3 linked regions of the Callithrix jacchus genome follow. The protein of the gene in region 3 purifies or fractionates together with the protein of the main gene of each other region. This does not show direct contact. Links are inferred from orthologs where the notes say so. Each region holds a gene or a part of one and is shown on either strand. Other genes may lie near its edges.

Region 1 (7,536 bases), on a different chromosome or scaffold from region 3:
AGAAAGAAACCAAAATTCAACATTATTGTAACAAAATCCCCCAATCTAAAAAGCGACCAACCCTGAAAAGATCAAGACTCTAAGGTGAAAAAGTTCAAACTCATCTTGAGGTCATAGGGGAGCAGAAGGAAGAGATCAGGGCAAAGGAAAAAAAGACTGTGGGTATTACACACAGTATGTAAATGCCTGGTCTTCACAGAGAGACACTTATCATTAATCAGACCATCAGTTATGTTACAAGAAAACCAATACCAACATTTCTCCTGTGGAGCACAGTGATAAGCACATTTTTTATGGATGTGTTTAGGATAGAAAGGGGTGGGAAGAAGGGAGAGGAGGCAGGGAGGTGAATGTATTATGTACAAAGAGAAATGACAGAGAAAACCCCCTCCTTTAGCTCTTTGCCGTTTCTTTCTCTTTGTTTTCCGCGTCCTCAGGATATGCATGCCATGTCAGTCTCTCTTCATAAAATGCTATCACAATTTGTGGACATTTCACATTAGCTTCTTTTGCAAGAACCAGGTCAGCTTCATCTGTGTCTTTCCTGGAAAGAAAGAATATGCTACTTAAAAGGAGAGGAAGTAAGAATGAAAGAAGCTGTCCAGATATAAGTTTATGTCATTATATGGATTGAGTTGTCTTGATTTCCTCCTCACTTTGATTTCAAGGTGAAAAGGACCCTTTTAATATTTTCAAGAAGAAATTTATGTAAATGGATTAATATATTAATCCTATTATACAGAAACAGATGTCTGCAGGTAGAATTTAGATGTAAAACATGGTAGGCTCAGTTTAAAAAGCTGAATAATAAATGATATTAATCTGCTTCCATAATTTTTATTTGTGAATAGGAGCATGTGAGTGAACCCAATCAAACCTACATTCAGCTGTATTGATTACACCTAAGTCAATTATGCACAGGTTGGTCAATCCAGTTTCCAGATCGTCTAAGTGAAGAGGTCTTAACCCTCCTCACTTTGTGGCCTTTTAAATACTCATTACACCTCTGGTCAGAACCATAGATTGGAACAACAAGCAAATAAAACTTTAGCTACAAATTTCAATTATCTCAGTTACAGCCTCTACTACCAAGTATAACAAAAAAAAATCTAGCCACATGGTCCCTTAGGCATGATTACAAATCAAGAAAAAAATTAAATTAAATTATCCTGAGAAGGCCACGTACAGTAGCTCATGCCTGTAATCCCAGCACTTTGGGAGGCTGAGGCAAGTGGATTGCATGAGCCCAGGAGTTCAAGACAAGCCTAGGCAACATGGCGAAACCCATCTCCACAAAAAATACAAAAATCAGCTAGGCATGGTAGTGCACGCTTGTGGTCCCAGCTGCTTGGGAGGCTGAAATGGGAGGATCACTTGGGCTTGGGAGGTGGAGTTTGCAGTGAGCTAAGATTGAACCACTGAACTCCAGCCTGGGCAACAGAGCAACACCCAGTCTCAAAATAAATAAATAAATAATAATAAATTAAATTATCCTGATATGAGGACAAGGGAAATTACCACCTTGTTGGAGCAGACACTCAAATTCAAACTATGGTGGAAAAAGCCAATTAATGAAATGTAAATCATAAGTACACGTATGGCTGAGTAAGAAAAAGCAGTCCAGCCTAGACACAGTGCCTCATACCTATAATCCCAGCACTTTGGGAGGCTGAGGTGGGAGAAACACTTGAGCCCAGGGCAACAAAGGAAGACCTAATGTCTTCAAAAATTTTTTCAAAAAATTAGCAGGCCATGGTGTCCAATTTTTTCAAAAAATTAGCAGGACCTGTAGTCCCAGCTACTCAGGAGACTGGAGAAGGAGGATAACTTGAATTCCGGAAGTCAAAGGTGCAGTGAGCTGTGATCACACCACTGTACTCCAGCCCGGGTGCCAGAGTGAGACCCTGTCTAAAATAAAATTTTTAAAAAGCAGTCCAGACCTGTAATCCCAGCACTTTGGGATGCCGAGGCAGGAGGACTGCTTGAGATCAGGAGTTTAAAACCAGCCTGGCCAAGATGGTAAAACCCCATCTCTACTAAAAAATTAGCCAGATGTCGTGGCACATGCCTATAATCCCAGCTACTTGGGTGGCTGAGGGATGAGAACCACTTGAACTTGGGAGGTGAAGGCTGTAGTGAGCCAAGATGGTGCCACTGCACTCCAGCCTAGGTCATAGAGCAAGACTGTCTCAAAAACAAAACAAAACAAGCAGTCCATACAGCTCCTTATTTCTGACAAAATATAACAATTCTTCAAACACAGGCTTCTGGGTAATTTACCAGCAGCACTATCATCAGATAAAATAAGCTTTTGATTATACAGCTTTTTTTTTTTAAAAGTACAGTGGCACCATCTCGGCTCACTGCAATCCTCGCCTCCTGGGTTCAAGCAATTCTCCTGTCTCAACCTCCCAAGTAGCAGAACTACAGGCACCCACCACCACACCAGGCTAATTTTTGTATTTTTAGTAGAGACAGGGTTTCACCATATTGCTCAGCCTGGTCTAGAACTCCTGACCTCAGGTGATCTGCCTGCCTCAGCTTCCCAAAGTGCTGAGATTACAGGCGGGAGCCACTGCACCCGGCTGACTACACAACTTTTAAGGTAACATGTTTCTTTAGTGGCAATGCAGCACAAACCCTCTATGTATCATAAACCCAGAATACCTGGAAACAGTGAGGGCCACACCATAAATCACTCTGTTTTTAAGAAATCAAATTGAGGGTCTTTTTCTGTTTTGAGATGGAGTTTCGTTCTTGTTACCCAGGCTGGAGTGCAATGGCGCGATCTCGGCTCACTGCAACCTCCGCCTCCTGGGTTCAAGCAATTCTCCTGCCTCAGCCTCCCGAGTAGCTGGGACTACAGGCGCATACCACCATGCCCAGCTAATTTTTGTATTTTTAGTAGAGACGGGGTTTCACCTTGTTGACCAGGATGGTCTTGATCTGTTGACCTCGTGATCCACCCGCCTTGGCCTCCCAAAGTGCTGGGATTATAGGAGTGAGCCACGTGCCCTGCCAAATTGAGCGTTTTTAAGTAATCAAATTGAGGGCTGGGTGCAGTGGCTCACGCCTATAATCCTAGCACTTTGGGAGGCCAAGGCGGGCAGACTGCTTGAGGTCAGGAGTTCAAGAGCAGCCTGACCAACATGGCAAAACCCCCTCTCTACTAAAAATATAAAAATTAGCCGGGCATGGTGGCAGGCACCTGTAATCCCAGCTACCTGGGAGGCTGAGGCAAGACAATCACTTGAACCTGGAAGGAGGAAGTTGCAGTGAACCAAGATCATGCCACTGCACTCCAGGCAATAGAATGAGATTCCGTCTCAAAAAAAAAAAAAATAAATCAAATTGAGAGGAACTACTTACCCTTTCATCTAAGAGCCATTCGGTCTATACTGGATGAAATAACTTGTGCTTTGGCCAAGTTATTTGGCCAAGTATTAGCCTTAATGCTTTTTGTTGAGATTATTTTTCTCTTTTAGACATTATTCAGCAGGTCTGGCCCTCAGTGATGGCACAAAGTCTCCTTTGATTCCTAGTTCAGGGTCACAGGCCCATGGTCTTACAGTAAATAATTCAGAACTGTGTAAACAAATGGTTATGTCATGCTTATGTTTTCTTTTTTTTGAGATGGAGTCTCACTCTGTGCCCATGTGGGAGTGTAATGGCTCGATCTCAGCTCACTGCAACCTCTGCCTACCAGGTTCAAGCAATTCTTCCTCAGCCTCCTAAGTAGCTGGGACTACAGGCATGAGCCACCACGCCCAGCTAATTTTTGTATTTTTATTAGAAATGGGGGTTCACCATATTGGCCAGGCTCCTAACCTCAAGTGATCTGCCTGCCTTGGCCCCCAAAGTGTTGGGATTACAGGCATAAGCCACTTTGCCTGGCCTTTATATATTTCCTACCTCAAATTTACCTTTTTCCTGATATGTAGGCTACTATAATTTGGCTTAATAACAAAGCTTGAGAATGTCTTAAATCCATTCTGAACCATAATTCCCATTTAATACCAATAATTGGTATCAGTTAAGGATCTCTGACATTCAAAATTCATGGTCTGGGAATACGCAGTCTTGCTACTTTATTTTCCACATGAATTCAAGTGACTGGCAAAGAAACACAATTGTAAAGTGAAGCCAAATCTTTCTCACCATTTCATTAGGAACATTAAATCACCACAGGAATCTGTCGCCCCAATGATCTTTTCTGGTTCCAGTCCTCTCTCAAAGCCCCGAGCTATATCATTGCTCTGCTATAAACAGAAGATGAAGAAAGGTTATAGCTTGTGGAAAGAGTAGAGAAACTCCCTATTTCTAGGCTCAACAAAACACAATATAAGTTAATATCACCTGATACCATTTCTGTCACCAATTTGGAAAAATTTTTAGAACTTAATAACAGTACTAAGTACTGACAGTGACAATGAAGTGACAGTGATGCCAAGAGATATTTTTGGAAGATGTTATCTTTCCTGGATTTCCTTCAGAAGACTGGAGGTGAACCCTAAAAGTCTCCAGTATTCCGTAAGATACTCTGAAGTCAACATCTAGGAATTCCTCTAATCCCACTCACTCAAAATATCCTTAATATTGTTAAATAAGCTCCTGAAATGATAAAGACCATGTTTACCCTAACTAAACCTTTTCATTTTACAAACTTTAAATATTTTACCTCTCTCAATCTTTATTTTTTTAGACTTTTAGTTTGCCTTAACACTAACCAATAATTTTAATACATTTCACAGTCACCTATATTTATGAAAGAACAGAGATAAGAATCATGCAAAGCCAATACTATTAAATGGCAAATTTCAGAGATCACAAACACCAATACCTACGTGCTTGGTTACAGAGAAGGCCCTGGTCAGTGCCTATCCCCTCTGGATGTTGATGACTGTTAGAACTGGGCAGAACTGGACTGTAATTGAAAACAAACACAAACAAAAACAAAAACAAAAACCTGCCCTGGTGCAGTGCCTCAGGCCTGTAATCCCAGAACTTTGGGAGGCTGAGGTAGGAGGATTGCTTGAGACTAGGAGTTGGAGACCAGCATGGACAACTATCTCTACAAAAAAAATTGTAAAAATTAGCTGGGCCCAGTGGTGTACACCTGAAGTGTGCTACCTCTACTCAAGAGGCTGAAGTGGGAGGATCCCCTGGGTCCAGGAGTTCAAGGCTGCAGTGAGCTACATCATGTCACTATGCTTCATGGTGGGCAACATAGTGAGAACCTGTCTCTTAAAGTAAGAAAGAAAAAAATCTTTTTTTTTTTTTTTTTTGAGACAGAGTCTCACTCTGTTGCCAAGGCTGGAGTACAATGGCACAATCTCAGCTCAGCTCACAGCAAACTCTGTCTCCTGGGTTCAAGTGGTTCTCCTCCATCAGCCTCCCAAGTAGCTGGGATTACAAGCATGCACCACCGCACCCAGCTAATTTTTGTAATTTTAGCAGAGACAGGGTTTTACCATGTGGGGCAGGATGGTCCTGATCTCTTGACCTCGTGATCCGCCTGCCTTGGCCTCCCAAAGTGCTGGGATTATAAGCATGAGCCACGGCACCCAGCCAGAAAAAAAATCTGGTAATTCCTGAGATGAGTACTGAAACTTGGTCTAAATTCAGTAATACAATCTAGACAAGGAGCACAGGTTCTAATCCAGGTGTAGGAACACCGATGAGAGCTAAAAAGCAAAATTTTATTCGAGCCAGGTAATTTTTTTTTTTTTGAGACAAGAGTCTCCCTCTGTTGCCCAGACTGGAGTGCAACAGCATAATCTGAGCTCACTGCAACCTCCGCCTCCTAGATTCAAGTGATTCTTCTTTCTCAGCCTCCCAAGTAGCTGGAATTACAGGCGTGCGCTACTGGGCCTGGCTAGTTATTGCATCTTTAATAGAGACGGGGGGCTAACCATGTTGGCCAGGCTGGTCTCAAACTCCTCAGGTGGTCTGCCTGCCTTGGCCTCCTAAAGTGCTGAAATTACAGGTGTGAGCCACTGCACCTGGCCATGCCTGGATAATTTTTGTATTTTTAGTAGAGACAGGGTTTCACCATGTTGACTAGGCTAGTCTCAAACTCCTGGCCTCAAATGATCCACCCACCTTTGCCTCCCACAGAGCTGGGATTATAGGTGTGAGCCTCCGTACCCAGCCCAAGCTAGGTAATTTTTAAAAACTTTATTATGGAAGATAATGTTAGCCTCTCCAGTGGCAACACAAAAAAAGATTCAGAGATGCCCAAATGAGCTAAATCTCTACTGATGATTCTTATAGTAAAATCTTTTTGATCTGATTATGTTCACCTTGCTTTCCTCAGACACAGAAAGCATTTGGGGTCTTGGTGGTCCCCAAAGATACCAAAATCCTCAATAGGAAGGAAATTCCATGCATGAATCATTGAAAGATACTGACTTTTAAAAACATAGCCTCTTTGGGGGGTGCTTAAGGGGAAGAAGTTCCCAGATGTGCACACAGCTGCTCACAGCTGGAATGCTGGCACATGGACTAAGTTGTAAATCATAGCTGACAGCTGAAAACAGTTTGCTATATAGAGGGGGGAAGGGGTGGGCAAATGGAAGAAAAATGTTCAAGCTGCTGAAAAGGAGCCGAAGCGAAGAAAACGCTAAAATCATCATACAGGCAGTAATCTTAAATCAGGCATAATGCAGACTAACAAATTTCTTCTGCAGTGGTCTTAAGAAAAAAATGCAATCCCCTCCTCTGTACCTTTAAAACATATAATCACCTATTTTCCCAACTGTCTACCTGACAGCAACCAGTACTGCTAGAATGCTATCAGGGGCCCCAGATGAACATTATGATCTAAGGGACACGTAGGGGTTGTTTTCAAGGTCGGCAGCTTCAGAACCTGGCCTAGGAACAAAACTCTCTGCACTGACCAGTGTCTCTAAGCCAGATAATTCAGGCTGCTCATTTTTAAAAAGGACAGAGGTTGGTCACGATGGCTCACGACTGTAATTCCAGCACTTTGGGAGGCCAAGGCAGGCAGATCACAAGGTCAGGAGATCAAGACCATCCTGACTAACATGGGGAAATCCCATCTCTACTAAAAATATAAAAAATTAGCCGGGCATGGTGGCACACACCTGTAGTCCCCACTACTTGGGAGGCTGAGGCAGGAGAATCACTTGAACCCAGGAGGTGGAGGCTGCAGTGAGCAGAGATCACACCACTGCACTCCAGCCTGAGCGACAGAGTGAGACTCTGTCAAAATAAATAAATAAATAAATAAATTTAATTTAATTGTAATTTTACTGGTCTGGGGTGCATCTTAGGCACTGGATAATTTTTTTTTTTTTAAAGCACTGTCCAGGTGAGTATAATGTGTAGCCAGGATTGAGAACTAATGCTCTAGAAAGTTAGATATCTAAGTAGAATGAAGATAATAGGGATGCTTGTGACAGAGATGCTGGAAGATTCAGAAGTAGACTTATGCTTTTATTAATCGTAAAGTGTATGATACAGCCTTCACCACAAAATGCTTGATAACCTTGAAATAAATGAAAGGAATAGAAG
Region 2 (7,448 bases), on a different chromosome or scaffold from region 3:
AAGTCTATGGCCACTACAGAACTGAGAGTTCTGGAATATAAGGTCATATCTGAAAATAGGTATTTAAAAATTTAATTAGGTGAGGTGTGTTGGCTCACATTTGTAATTCCAACACTTTGGGAGGCAGAGACAGGAGGACTGCTTGAGCCCAGGAATTCAAGATCAGCTTGGGCAACATAGTGAGACCCCATCTCTACTAATAGTTAAAAAATAATAATAATTAGCTGGGCATTAGGGCACACATCTGTAGTCCCAGCTACTCAGCAGGCTGAAGTGGGAGGATCCCTTTAGCCTAGGAAGATGAGGCTGCTATGAGTCATGGTAGCACCACTGCACTCTAGCCTGGGTGACAGAGTGAGACCATCTCTCCAAAAATAAAAAATTGAAAACTACTTAAAATTGCTGGGCACACTGGCTCACGCCTGTCATTCCAGCACTTTGGGAGGCCAAGGCAGGTGGATTGCCTGAGGTCAGGAGTTCGAGACCAGCCTGGCCAATGTGGGGAAAGCCCGTCTCTACTAAAAATACAAAAAATGAACTGTGCATGGTGGCAGGCACCTGTAGTCCCAGATACTCTGGAGGCTGAGGCAGGAGAAATGCTTGAACCTGGGAGGCAGAGTTTGCAGTGAGCCAAGATCGTGCCAGGGCAACAAAAGCAAAACTCCATCTCAAAAAAAAAAAAAAAAAATTGGCTGTCAATGTTTTTTTCTGAGATGGTTTCGCTCTTGTTACCCAGGCTGGAGTGCAATGGCGCAATCTTTGCACAGAGCAACCTCCACCTCCCAGGTTCAAGCAATTCTCCTGCCTCAGCCTCCCAAATAGCTGGGATTAAAGGTGCCTACCACCACGCCACGCTAATTTTTGCATTTTTGGTAGAGAAGAGTTTCAACATGTTGGCCAGGCTGGTCTCGAACTCTTGACCTCAGGTGATTCACCTGCCTCGGCCTCCCAAAGTGTTGGGATTAAAGGCGCGAACCACTGGGCCTGGCCGGTTGTCAAAATTTTCAAACGATATCAAATGCAGGAACAATTATTACTCAACACTGTCAAGGGTGTTTCTGTGGTCGTTGTTCCATCCATTTACAATACAAAACTTAAGACAATGAAGGAGCAAGACTTTTGTTTTACTGGCTCTGCCAGTACAGGATACCTCAGGTAATAATGATTTCACAATATTAGCAAGCTCCCCTTTTCTAATAGTAACTAAGATAATTTATATCCTCTTTAATTCCCGGGCAAGAGATCTGTGATGGTGCAATTTTATGGAAACCATCCAACAAACATGTTTTTCCACTGTCTGAAGAAATATTCTTTGGCTGGGAGTGGTGGCTCATGCCTGTAATCCCAGGACTTTGGGAAGCCAAGGTGGGCAGATCACCTGAGGTCAGGAGTTCGAGACCAGTGTGGCCAATATGGTGAAACCCCATCTCTACTAAAAATTAAAAAAAAAATTAGCCAGGCCTGGTGGTGTGCACCTGTAGTCCCAGCATCTTGGGAGGCTGGGGCAGGAGAACTGCTTGAACCCTGGAGGCAGAGGCTGCAGTGAGCCAAGATTGTGCCATTGCATTCCAGCCTGGGCAACAGAACAAGACTCTGTTTCAAAAATAGAACAAACAATAAACAAAGAAATAACCTCTGAATATTTTCTCAAGCTGACTTAACATTTGTTGTGCCTATTTGTATTTGTAGCAGTTTGAATTTGTGACCTCAACAATCATAAAAGTTGGTCCTTAAACGATAGATCTAGTGATGTTCTAAATGGCTTTCAAAAATAACAAAATTCTGTCTAGTTTCAACTCAGTTTTCACTGCATGCACAGCAGTATTACTGTTTTCTCTGGTGGAGAATAAGTTTTTACAACAGCTCAGGAATGCCACAAATGACAAGGAAGTCAGTTCCAAAGGTTAAGGCCAAAGCTGACTGGTAGCCCATTTGGGATACAAACCAAGGCTGCAGTTTCATTTCAGTGCATTTGATGGTACAGAACAGAACCAGAACACCTCCACCTAAACTCCCTTAATTAGCTACCGATGGCTGTGCTACTGCCAACCACCACAAGGGCACACACTCAGACCTCTGTGCAGGAGGAAGGCCTGTCTGTGACCCAGACCTTCAGTAAGGTTCCCCAGCTCCATTTATGTCTCCCCAGAACTTTCCTGAGGAGGCTTTTGGAAAAGTACACATCAGTTTATTTTAAACCTATGCTTTGCACAAGTGAGTAGTGCTCAACTGTTATACTGATTAGGTATCAGTGGAAATGCTATTTCTGCTATAATTTTGGCTCTAGAATCACAGGCAGAAAATGTTTTCAGTCAGTGCTCAAACACAGGGCCAATTCCTGGAAAATTTTGGAGAAGTAGAATTTAGCCAAGGTCTATTACATACTTGAGGCAGGATCTAAACCTAACTCAAAAACCCATGTTTCCAAATATACCATAGTTTGCAAGTGCTATCAGGTCAGAGTGCTCAATAAACTTTCAGCAATACTGAAGACAGCATGATGGGACCATCTTTACAATCCCTGCAGCAACAAATGCTCAGTATTTACTAAATTAACATGGTGAGACCACTTAAAGATTCAGGCCAGGCACTAGATTTTCAAGCCTGTAGCAAGAAATAAAACCATCCAAGTGAGGATGCGATTTCCAACAGGCTGAACCTATAAGGTAAGAAGGGTTCCTGGGAAGACTTAAGACAGAAATCAGGGATTATAAATCTATAGTTTTATTAAGACAAAAACTGACAGTGTAGTATGAAGTTTACATTTAAACAAAGTTTTCACAGAAATCTAACACATGCCTAAAAAGATTTTACAATGTAGCCCTAGATGCAAGTCTAGACAATATCAAGAACTGATGGATTTCATGACTCAAGACAGAGTATTTTGGGTATGTTACTTCTTAGGATTTCTTTAAAAAAGTGTGTGTGTGTTTTAAAGTGAACACTGCCCAGTATGAAAGTTTAATCTTCTCCTGGGACCAAGGTTTTTTAAGTCACCCAACTCTGGAATCAATTCAGTGAAACTTGTGCTGTCAGTGACTGAACGCTGCCACCAATGGTTTCAGAGTTCAAACCTCAAAAAAAACAGAATGGCTCCAAGAGTTCTCCCCACTAAGAGCATAGGCCCTTATCTTTCCCTACTGTCTTATCTCCTCTACCACCCTCTTCCTTTTCCCCAACACCTCAGCCAGTGGCTTGGATGAACAAGCTGATATTTATAATTTTGTTATTGGAAAAGAAAGGTTTTCTAATTTCAGGAATTAGCACCTCTGAGACAGAATGATCTGCTTGTACTGTATACTCTCCAATAAAAGACCTTCCCTCCTCAGTCAATTTCCATTTCCAAAATGGCAACTTTGGTAACTTATTAACTGGCTTAGTCCTTTGTGGGGAACAGCAGTAAGTTTAGGCAGGGAACACCTTGGCTTATAGGTTTCAGACATTCACAGCTTTTAAACAGTCTCTCACAGTCCTTATTTATGGTGCCAATGACATTTTTTTTTGAAAAGTAAAATATTCTGGACACAGAAGCATATCATTAGTTGTCTGTTCTTTCCATTGCTTCACCATTTCCCCTTTCAGGCCCCCAAATTTAATTAAAATGATGCTACCCATCTCCCTTTCTCCCCTCCCCATCCCTCCCTCCCCCAAATAATACACCAGTAATAGCCAAAAACTACACACATGCTATGCTGTAAAAATGCAGAGTTAACACTATTGGGAAGAAGGCTGTGGGTTGTGGAGATGCTCTTTGAAGATCTACAGTATTTTTTTGCTCTCCCACACACCCAATTCTGCAAGTTTTGTCCTTCATAGAAGGCCCTTTGCTTTTCTCAGCAAAGTGCAGAAAAGGTTGCCTTGAAACACTTACCCCCTTCCCCTCCACTGGGATGGGTGTGCAAACTATACAGCTTGTAAGGGCTTTAAAGCACTTGGGCTGCTGCAGGGCACAGAAACTATACTGGCTCTTCAAAGGACATCTTCTCAAGCCACCTCTGTGGTGTCAAGACAAGTAGAACTCCTTCCCTTCCCACTTGAAACCCACAGTCAGATGTGACAGGGGCTGGTACTCAGGAGAGTTAATTCTTGTCATCTTTTTTGTCATCATCCTCCGAGGGGTAGGAATGCCACGTCAGCCTTTCCTCATAGAAGGATATGACAACCTGTGGGCACTTGACATTGGCTTCCTTGGCAGGGACCAGGTCAGCCTCATCAGAGTTTTTCCTGCAGAATAAAGCAAAGAGAGACTTTGAGACCAACTGCTAGTGGTCTATCATAAGTTGAATAAGCCAGGGGATAGAACTTTTAAAAACAGTAATTTTAGGCTGGGCATGGTGGTTCACGCCTGTAATCCCAGCACTTTGGGAGGCAGAGGTGGGAGGATCACCTGACGTCAGGAGTCAGACCAGCCTGGCCAACATGGTGAAAACCCATCTTAAAAAAAATAAAATAAAAATTAAAAAATTAGTAATTTTAGAAAAATAGGCAGGGAACAATGAAAACGTGGCCTAAGCAGCATTTACTGGCAACTTTATGTCAAGTGACATCCTCAGAGATACTCTCCTGTTGCAAATTCCCTCTGGGGATTTGTGTATGTCAAAAGCCAGGTCATTGGACTTAACCAGTCACATCTGAATATTTCGGAAAGGTCCCCAAAAGCATGACTTTTTTGAATCTCTGAGGGAAGAGAGGCTACCTCACTCTTCCAAAAGCCATATCCCAGCTGATATGAACACATGGAGAAATCTTGGCTTTGTAATAGGTTTTTTTTTTTTTGAGACAGAATCTCACTCTGTCGCCCAGGCGTGCAGTGGTGTGATCTTGGCTCACCACAACCTCCACCTCCTGGGTTCAAGCAGTTCTCCTGCCTCAGCCTCCCCAAGTAGCTGGGACTACAGGCATGTGCTACCACACCTGGCTAATTTTGTATTTTTAATAGAGACAGGGCTTTGCTCTGTTGGCCAGGCTGGTCTTGAACTCCTGACCTCAGGTGATCCACCTGCCTCAAGCTCCCAAAGTGTTGGGATTACAGATTTGAGCCACCATGCCCAGCCTGGAGTAGAATTAAAAATACCACATCTGGCACTGGCCAGAGCAAATCAAAGTGGACACTTTCTTGCATAATCATAATTACACTGACATTTACAAATGCTATCCTTACGTAACTTCCAGGTGCTTTGAAATGTTGTTTCAACACTGGGAGGCAGAAAATGGGGGGGCCATATTTTTCTGAATTTTAAAATGTTTTCAAAATTTGAAAATCATACACATTATAAGGGAATTAGGAGTAAACTCTTAGGCCGGGTGCAGTGGCTCATGCCCATAATCCCAGCACTTTGGAGGGCCAAGGTGGGCAGGCCCAGGAGTTCAAGACCAGCCAGTCAACATGGCAAAACCCCATTGCTGCTAAAAATACAAAAATTAGCCAGGCATATTGGCGTGCATTTGTAATCCCAGCTACTCAGGAGGCTGAGACACAAGAATTGCTTGAACAACCCGCGAGGTGGAGGATGTAGTGAACAGGGGTCTACACTCCAACCTGGGTGACAGAGCAAGACTCTGTCTCATTAAAAAATATATATATATTTTTTTAATTTTTAATTTTTTTTCCAGCACCAACTTGCTGTATTTAAAAAAAAAAAATTCCTATCTTCAGGTTATTAGGAATGTCCTAGACAGAAGCAGTAGTATAAGGCAAGCAGGAGATATCTGATGAGATCTCTGACAAAGCACCACCCAAAACCTCCAGAACCCCAACAGGAAACAAGAGCCACAGAGTCCCATGGAGCAGAAGAGTAAGCCGATAAAATATGTTTTTGAGGCCAGGCATGGTGGCTCACGCCTGTAATCCCAGCACTTTGGGAGGCCAAGGCGGGTAGATCACGAGGTCAAGAGATCGAGACCATCCTAGTCAACATGGATGACCCCATCTCTACTGAAAATACAAAAATTAGCTGGGCATGGTGGCGCGCGCCTATAGTCCCAGCTACTCAGGAGGCTGAGGCAGGAGAACTGCTTGAACCCAGGAGGCGGAGGTTGCGGTGAGCCAAGATCGCACCATTGCAGCCTGGGTAACAAGATCAAAACTCCGTCTCAAAAAAAAAAAAAAAAAAAAAAAAAAATGTTTTTGAACAATGGATCCAGGAGAATGGGAGGGAAATGGGAATCTGAAGCATGCTGCCATCTGCTAACAGCTGAACAACACCCTCTGAGTTACATTCAGTCATTTCACTGCTTAGAAATATTTGCTACTTTCGGAAATATACAAGAATCCCTATTCTCCAGTAAAGTAACTTTTTAAAATGTACTTGGTCTTAGAATCAAATCCAATTTTAACCTGTGGACAGTAATGAGTCAGCCAGGTGCAGTGGCTCACACCTGTAATCCTAGTACTTTGGGAGGCTGAGATGGGTGGATCACCTGAGGTTGGGAGTTTGAGACCAGCCTGGCCAACATGGTGAAACCCAATCTCAACTAAAAATACAAATATTAGCCAGGCGAGGTGGCGGGTGCCTATAATCCCAGCTATTTGGGAGGCTGAGGCAGGAGAATCATTGAACCTGGGGCGGGGGGGGCAGAGGCTGCAGTGAGCCGAGCTCACACCACTGTACTCCAGCAGCCTGGGCTAAGGATCGAGACCCCATCTCAAAAAAAAAAAAGACAATAGTGAGTCAACCAAAGGAATGCAATCGTAAGCAATTACTGTAACTCCCATTAGTCACATGCAGAAAAAGTATCTTCTAGCTAGACTGATTAACTCATGGTATAACTTCTCCCACCCCATAAGCAGCATCTTAAAAATTAACTTTTATCCTACAGGTAAACAATAAATCAGTTGAAAGAGGGTCAAGCTCCAGTAACTGCCTAGGGAATGCATAGGTTAGCTAGTTGTGACTCTGGCTTTCAGTGATGCTAAAGTTAGGCCTCTCCAGCCATACTGTAAAGGAGAATAATTAGTACAGACAGGAGTTTCAGAGAAAGTTCTGGACTGTCAAAAGGATAAAGCTCCACAGACATTGTGTGTGTATATATATTTCAAAAGACAAAGTTTTGAGAATGCTGCCTGCATTGGCAATGGCTTAGAATTATTCCTTCCTAACTTTAAATACAATGATTGGCCGGGCAAGGTGGCTCACGCCTGTAATCCCAAAACTTTGGGAGACTGAGGCAGGCGGATCATAAGGTTAAGAGTTCGAGACCGGCCTGGCAAACAATTAAACCCGGTCTCTACTAAAAATACAAAAATTAACTAGGCATGTTGGCATGCACCTATAGTCCCAGCTATAGGTGGGAGAATCGTTTAAACCCAAGAAGCAGAGATTGCAGTGAGCTGAGACCATACCATTGCAATCCAGCCTGGGTGACAGAACAAGACTCTAACTTAAAAAAAAAAAAAAAATACAATGACTGAGATCCACTTTGGGGGGAGAAAAAAAGGCATAAGCATT
Region 3 (7,636 bases):
CAGGGTGCAGTGGCTCATGCCTATAATCGTAGCACTCTGAGGCAAGCATATCCCTTGAGCTCAAGGGTTCAAGAACAGCCTGGACAACATGGTGAAACCCCGTCTCTACAAAACATACAAAAATTAGCCAGATGAGCAGTATGCACCTATAGTCCTGGCTACTCAGGAGGCTGAGGCAGGATAAACCACTTGAGCCTGAGAGGCAGAGGTTGCAGTGGACCAAGACTGCACCATTACACTCCAGCTTAGATGCCAGAGTGAGACCCTGTCTCAAAAAAGAAAACAAAAAAAAAAAAAGGAGCATCAAAAGAACTGATGATCAGCATAGGACTAGAAGGATCTTCAGAGGGCTTGAGTTCAACTTCTTCATTTTATACCTGAAAAGACTGATGCTGAGGGAGAGACATGACCTGTCAAAGATCACAAAGATCATTTAGGTCAGAGGAAACAGCAGTTTTTGATTCTGGCTTTCTCAATTCTGGATCTCTGCTATAACAAAATGCTGTCTTTCCCACAGTAGCACAACTATCCACAAAAATGTTATAGAATTGAGTCCCAGAATTTAACTTTTAGGCAGAGCCTAGAGAGCTGGGCATCCTTCCAGCTTTAAGGTTCCAGCAAAATTTCTTCCTAAATTTGAACTCCTACCCCTAATTAAAAATTAACTCAAAATGGTCCAGATTAACAAAAATTTCTTTGTGTCTTTATAGATTACATCTCGTCTCTAAAAAAAACCTAAATTCTAATCATTGGTGCTCTGCCAGTCTGTCACCCAGTATTCTTCAATGCAATGTTATGCCATATGGTGTATCATAACTATTTCCCATGTCCCATTCAATTCCTTCACTGAAGTCCAACACCACTGATCATCTTTTAAAACACATGTGATGCACAGTGTTTTAAATTAAAATTCGATATGTAGAACATGTTTAAAGCTAAATGGGTACTATTAGTCTATACACACTAGCATTGTTCTTTATCTTAGCTTTTTTTTTTAAGATGGAGTCTTGCATCAGTGCCCAGGCTGGAGTGCAATGGCGCGATCTCCGCTCACTGCAACCTCCACCTCCCAAGTTCATGTGATTCTCCTGCCTCAGCCTCCAGAGTAGCTGAGATTACAGGTGCACACGACCACACCCAGCTAATTTTTTGTATTTTTGGTAGAGACGGGGTTTCACTGTGTTGGCCAGACTGATCTTCAACTCCTGATCTCAGGTGATTCCCCCGCCTCAGCCTCCCAAAGTGCTGGGATTACCGGCATGAGCCACCCACCACGCCAGGCCTTAGCTGACCTTTTTTTTTAAGAGACAGGGTCCTGCTCTGTTGCCCAAGGTTTTAGTGGAGTGACACAATCACAGCTCACTGCAGCCTCATACTCCTGGGCTCCAGAAATCCTCCCACCTCAGCATCATAAGTAGCTGGGACTACAGGTGCACACCACCACATCTGATTAATTTGTTTTTGTTTCTGCAGCGATGGGGTCTCACTATGTTGTCCAGGCTTGTCTTGAATTCCTGGCCTCAAGCAATCCTCCTGCTTTGGCCTCTTGAAGTGCTGGGATTACAGGAGCCACCATGCCCAGCCTTTAAAAACTGGATCAACTGGCCAGGCGCGGTGGCTCATGCCTGTAATCCCAACACTTTGGGAGGCTGAGATGGGTGGATCATTTGAGGACAGGAGCTTGTGACCAGACTGGCCAACATGGTGAAACCCTGTCTCTACTAAAAATATAAATTAGCTGAGCATAATGGTGCACACTTATAATCCCAGCTACTTGGGATTGGCTAAAGCAGGAGAATTGCTTGAACCCAGGAGACGGAGGTTGCAGTGAGCCAAGACTGCACCATTGCACTCCAGCTGGGCAACAGAGTAAGACTCCATCTCCATAAGAATTAAAAAAAAAAAAAAGGAAGAAATGAATTTTTCAAGCAGTTTTATGTTTAAACAAAAACATACAAGAATTCCCATATACCTCCTTCCACCAACTCCCTAGCCCCCAGTTTCTCCTACTACAGAGAGCATCCCTAATCTGAAAATCTGAAACCAGACATGCTCCAAAATCCAAAACTTTAGAAGTGCCAAAAGGAGCATTTTGGCACTCAAACAGTACAAGCCAACTATTCCAAAATCTGAAAGTGGGGAGAAGGGAGAGGGGAGAGGGGAGATCCAAAGCACTTCTGGTTTCGAATAAAGGACACTCAACTAGTATTAACATCTTTTGTTAGTGTGAGACATTTGCTACAATGATGAACTAACATTGATTTATTAAGTCTATAGTTTACACAAGGAGTCACTTTTTGTTTTTTTTTTTTGACGGAGTCTTGCTCTGTCCACCAGGCTGGTGTGCAGTGGCGCTATCTCTGCTCACTGCAACCTCCGCCTCCTGGGTTCAAGCGATTTCCTGCCTCAGCCTCCCAAGGAGGTAGGACTACAGGCACTTGCCACCATGCCCAGCTAATTTTTGTATTTTTAGTAGAGATGGGTTTCACCATGTTTGTCAGGATGGTCTTGATCTCCTGACCTCATGATCTGTCCACCTTGGCCTCCAAAAGTGCTGGGATTACAGATGTGAACCACTACGACCAAGGAGTCACTTTCTGTGATGTGCAGTTCTATGGGTTTTGACAAATACATAGCATCATGTATCCACTGCTAGGGTAGTCACACAAAATTATTTCATTGCTTAGCATCTTCCTGTGCTCCTGGCAACCACTCATCTTTTTACTAACTCAGTAGTTTTGATTTCTCATGTGTATTTTTTAAAGGATGGTAAATAGAACATAAAACTTGCCATTTAGGCTGGGCACGGTGGCTCATGTTTGTAATTTTGCCACTTTGGGAGGCCAAGGAGGGTGGATTACCTGAGGTCAGGAGTTCAAGACCAGCCTGACCAACATGGTGAAACCAAGTCTCTACTAAAATTACAAACAATTAGCTCGGCGTGGTGGCGGGCGCATGTAATACCAGCTACTCGGGAGGCTGAAGTGGAGGGTGCAGTGAGCTGAGGTCGCGCCACTGCCCTCCAGCCTGGGCAACAAGAGCAAAACTCCGTCCAAAAAAAAAAAAAAATCACTTGCCATTGAATCATTTTTAAAATCACAATTTAGTTTAGTTCTAAAATGTAGTGCAAACATCACCACTATCTACGTCCAGAATCACTTAACCACAAACAGAAACTCTGTACTCATAAAACACTAACTCCCACTCTGCATTTTCAGTGCTGGTAATGTCTAATCTTTCTGTGTCAGAGGGGGAATCATGCAGTATTAGTCTTTTTGTGTCTTATTTCATTCAATATAATGTGTTCGAGGCTCGTTTATATTGTAGCATCTATCAGAATGTCATTCCTCAGGATGAACAATAGTCCATTACATGTAATATACCACAGCTTGTCTTTCATTCACCTGTTGATAGACATCTGGATTGTGAATAATGCTGCCATGAACATTTGTGAACAAGTAACTGAGTCCCTGCTGTCAATTTTTTTGGGTACAAATCTTGTAGAACTGAGGAACCACACCAATTCCCATAGCTGTTGTACCACGCTACATTCCCACCAGCAGTGCACCCGAGCTTCAATTTCTCCACATCCCCAACACTCATAATTTCCCATTTTTTGTTAGTAGCCATCCTAACAGGTATGAGGTAGTATCTCACTGCGGCTTTCATCTGCATTTTCTTAATGGCTAGTGGTGCTGAGCATCTTTGCACGTGCTTACTGGCCATCTGTCTATCTTCTCTGGAGAAATATCTATCCAAATTCCTTGCCCATTCTTAAGCTGGTTGCTTTTTGTTGGTCAGCTGCATCTCTTCTTGTATTCCAGACATTAACCCTTCACCATTCTCCTCTGCCGTTTTGGAGGCTGTATAGCGGATTTTTAAACAGTAATAATGACAGAGGAGGAGGCAGCCTAGGACTAAAGCGGAAAGAATGGCTTGCGTGCCGTGCTGCCCCCAACTTCCCAATGATTTCACATGCAGTGTTTCCTGCCTCGGCCGCGAGTGACACCGGGCCTCACCGCTCCCGGCACAAAGACGCACTCCCGCCCGGACTCCGGGGGCGGGCCCTTCCCGCGGCCGCGTAGGGGGCGAGGCGGCGCAGGCCCCCTTCACTCGGACAAGCGGCTTCCTCCCGGAGCGGCCCTGCCAAGTCGGCGGCCGACACAGGGCTCGGAGATGCAGGCCCCAGCCACGCCCTCCCCGCTCGCTCCGCTCCTCACCGGTCGGGCCGCTGGCGGCGTCCAGTGGGCGAAGGACGACCCGGAGGGCCCGGCTCGCGGTCGCGGGCGGCTCAGCCAGGCCCCGCAGCGCAGCGGCCTCCCGAATGGCGACTGGACGAAGGAGCCAGGATCCGGGTGCGCGAGCGTGCGCGTGCCCGCGGCACGGGCGGGGGCTGACGGGAAGCAAGTTTGGCGCCGCGCGCCCTCCGGCGCGGACCAATCAGATTGCCGATCGCGTGGCGCGGCAGTGCCACAAGTGCGTGGGCAAAACTAGCGACTCGCGCGGGCCTTCGGAAGTGCCGCGCGCCCGCCCCGCCACGCCCCGGAAGTGCCGCACGTGCCCACTCCGCCTCCGCTTCCCGCGCGCGCCCGGGTCGGCTCCGCGAGGGTTCAGCTGCGTCTGGCTTCTGGCCTCCCGCCGGGACCTTGGAATGGTCCGGGGCTGCCGCCGCCCTGCCGATATCGCTTCCTCTTCTTGCCTTTTTGATTGTTGTAGAAATGAATTTATTAGGAAAAAAAGAGCTGGACCTGCCCCATACATTGTCAGGGATACTTCTGGCATAATGCCTATGACAAAAATACAAACAAATCAACATAGTTCTTGGATGCCAATATTTCTTCTCATCACCTCTCCTCCAGTGAAAGTCCGATCCCCAGAAGTTATCTTCAGTCTTATGAATATTACCACCGCAATTCTAATTAAAATGCATGCACCTCTAATGCTGACGCCATCAGTCTGTATGCTTTGAAACACGGTGAAATTAGCTCGATGCTCTCTACATTTGAACCCTTCTGAAGTTTTACTTTTTATTATTATTGTGGTTAAAATAAACTACAGAATGGTCTGGCACTGTGGCTCAGGCTTGTAATCCCAGCACTCTGGGAGGCCAAGGCGGGTGGATCACCTGAGGTCAGGAGTTCGAGGCCAGTGTGGCCAACGTGGTGAACCCCGTCTCTACTAATAATACACAATTAGCCAGGCGTGGTGGCACATACCTGTAATCCCAGCTACTCGGAAGGCTGAGGCAGGAGAATCCCTTAGAACCTGGGAGGCGGAGGTTGCAGCGAGATCACGCCACTGCACTCCAGCCTGGGCGGCGGAACGAGAGTCTGTCTCAAATAAATAAATAAAAACAAAAACCATAGCATTTACTGTCTTAACTATCTCTATGTGTACAGTTCAGTGGTAGTAAGTGTATTCATAACACCACCATCCATCTCTGTAAGTCTTTCATCTTGAAAAACAAACTATGCATCACATGTTAACTCCTTGTTCCCCTCTACCTTCTACTTTCCGGCAGTCACCATCCTACTTTCTGTCTCTGTGAGTCTGACTACTCGTAAAAGTGGAATCATACAGTATTTGTCCTGTGACTGATTTATTTTACATAGCACAGTGTTCTCAAGGTTCATCCATTTTAACACTGAATACTATTCCATTGTATGGATGCCACATTTTGCTTATCCACTCACCTGCTGATGGACACTTGACTTGCTTCCCTATTCAAGATATTGTGAATAATGCTTTCACATTTTCAAAGAACCAGTTTTTGGTTTCATTGATTTTCTCTGTCGTTTTCTATTCTCTGTTTCATTTATCCTGGCTTTAATCTTTATTATTCCCTTCCTTTTGCTAGCATTGGATTTAGTTTCTTTTTACTTTTTTTTTTATTTTTAACGATGGGGTTTCACCATGATGGCCAGGCTGGTCTTGAACACCTGACCTCAGGTGATCCACCCTCCTCAGCCTCCCAAAGTGCTAGGATTACAGGCATGAGCCACTGTGCCTGGCCATTTAGTTTCTTTTCATTTATTTATTTATTTATTTATTTATTTTTGAGACGGAGTTTCACTCTTGTTACCCAGGCTGGAGTGCAATGGCTTGATCTCGGCTCACCGCAACCTCCGCCTCCTGGGTTCAGGCAATTCTCCTGTCTCAGCCTCCAGAGTAGCTGGGATTACAGGCACGCACCACCACGCCCAGCTAATTTCTTGTATTTTTAGTAGAGATGGAGTTTCACCATGTTGACCAGGATGGTCTTGATCTCTTGACCCACCTGCCTCGGCCTCCCAAAGTGCTGGGATTACAGGCTTGAGCCACCGCGCCTGGCCTCAGTTTCTTTTTATTTTTATAGTTCATTAAGTTGTAAAGTTAGGTGTTAATTTGAGATTTTCTTGGTTTTTGATGTATTTATAGCTATAAAGTCCTTTAAGTTTGCTTTTGCTGCATCACAAAAGCTTTGCTATAATGTGTTTACATTTTCATTCATTTGTATTTTCTAATTTTCCTTGTAATTTCTTTATCGCTTTTTCTGAGTGTGTTGTTTAATTTTCACAAATTTGTAATTTTTCCCATCATATTTTTTTTTTTTGAGACAGAGTCTAGCTCTGTTACCTAGGCTGGAGTGCAAGAGCACAATATTGGCTCACTGCAATGTCCGCCTCCCAGGTTCAAGTGATTCTCCCACCTCAGCCTCTCAAGTGGCTGGGACTACAGTCATGAATCACCATGCCCGGCTAATTTTTGTATTTTTAGTAGAGACGAGTTTTCACTATGTTGGCCAGGCTGGTCTCGAACTCCTGACCTCAATGATCCGCCTTTCTCAGCCTCCCAAAGTGGTGGAATTATATGTGTGAGCCACTGCACCTGGCCCCATCATACTTTTGTTATTCATTTCTTTCTTTTTTTTTTTTTTTTTTGAGACGGAGTATCACTCTGTCACCCAGGCTGGAGTGCAGTGACGCAATCTCGGCTCACTGCAACTTCCGCCTTCTGGGTTCAAGCGATTCTCCTACTTCAGCCTCCTGAGTAGCTGGGATTACGGGTGTGTGCCACCACGCCTGGCTAATTTTTTTGTATTTTTAGTTGAGACATGGTTTCACCATATTTGTCAGGCTGGTCTTGAACTCCTGACCTTGTGATCTGCCCGCCTCAGCCTCCCAAAGTGTTAGGATTACAGGTGAGAGCTACCATACCCAGCCTCTTATGCATTTCTAAATTCCTCCATTGTGGTCTGATATGATACATTGTATGATATTTATCTTTTTAAATCTACTGAGACTTAATTTGTGGTCTAACATATGACCTATTCTGGAAAATGCTCCATGTGCACTTGAAAATATACATGCTGCTGTTGTGGACTAAAGTGTTCTATGTCTTTTAGATCTAGTTGGTTTATTGTGTTAATTCCTCTAATTTCTTACTTATCTTCTGTCTACTTGTTCTGATAATTGAGAACGTGATATTGACATTTATTATTGTAAAACTTTTCACCCCTTCAATTCTGTCATTTTTTGCTTCATATATATTTATGGTCTGCCATTAAGTGTGTAAATGTGTATAATCATTATACATTCTTGCTGTATTGAAACTTTAATACATAATCTTGTTCTTTGTCTCTTATAATCTCTGATTT

The links.
Region 1: the proteins of CHAMP1 (region 3) and CBX5 purify together in Homo sapiens (affinity purification with mass spectrometry; 6 studies listed by BioGRID and IntAct, with this or other methods). This does not show direct contact. The link is inferred for Callithrix jacchus from reciprocal best matches to the Homo sapiens genes CHAMP1 and CBX5.
Region 2: the proteins of CHAMP1 (region 3) and CBX1 purify together in Homo sapiens (affinity purification with mass spectrometry; 6 studies listed by BioGRID and IntAct, with this or other methods). This does not show direct contact. The link is inferred for Callithrix jacchus from reciprocal best matches to the Homo sapiens genes CHAMP1 and CBX1.

What each region holds. Positions count from the first base shown.
Region 1 is NC_133510.1:65,304,140-65,311,675, reverse strand, and holds part of CBX5 (chromobox protein homolog 5), read right to left. Parts: intron 4,260-7,536; coding exon 4,159-4,259; intron 545-4,158; coding exon 394-544; 3' UTR 1-393. UniProt on the Homo sapiens protein: Component of heterochromatin that recognizes and binds histone H3 tails methylated at 'Lys-9' (H3K9me), leading to epigenetic repression. In contrast, it is excluded from chromatin when 'Tyr-41' of histone H3 is phosphorylated (H3Y41ph).
Region 2 is NC_133506.1:118,213,748-118,221,195, reverse strand, and holds the end of CBX1 (chromobox protein homolog 1), read right to left. Parts: intron 4,225-7,448; coding exon 4,080-4,224; 3' UTR 2,709-4,079; downstream 1-2,708. UniProt on the Homo sapiens protein: Component of heterochromatin. Recognizes and binds histone H3 tails methylated at 'Lys-9', leading to epigenetic repression. Interaction with lamin B receptor (LBR) can contribute to the association of the heterochromatin with the inner nuclear membrane.
Region 3 is NC_133502.1:29,683,776-29,691,411, reverse strand, and holds the start of CHAMP1 (chromosome alignment-maintaining phosphoprotein 1), read right to left. Parts: upstream 4,362-7,636; 5' UTR 4,221-4,361; intron 1-4,220. UniProt on the Homo sapiens protein: Required for proper alignment of chromosomes at metaphase and their accurate segregation during mitosis. Involved in the maintenance of spindle microtubules attachment to the kinetochore during sister chromatid biorientation.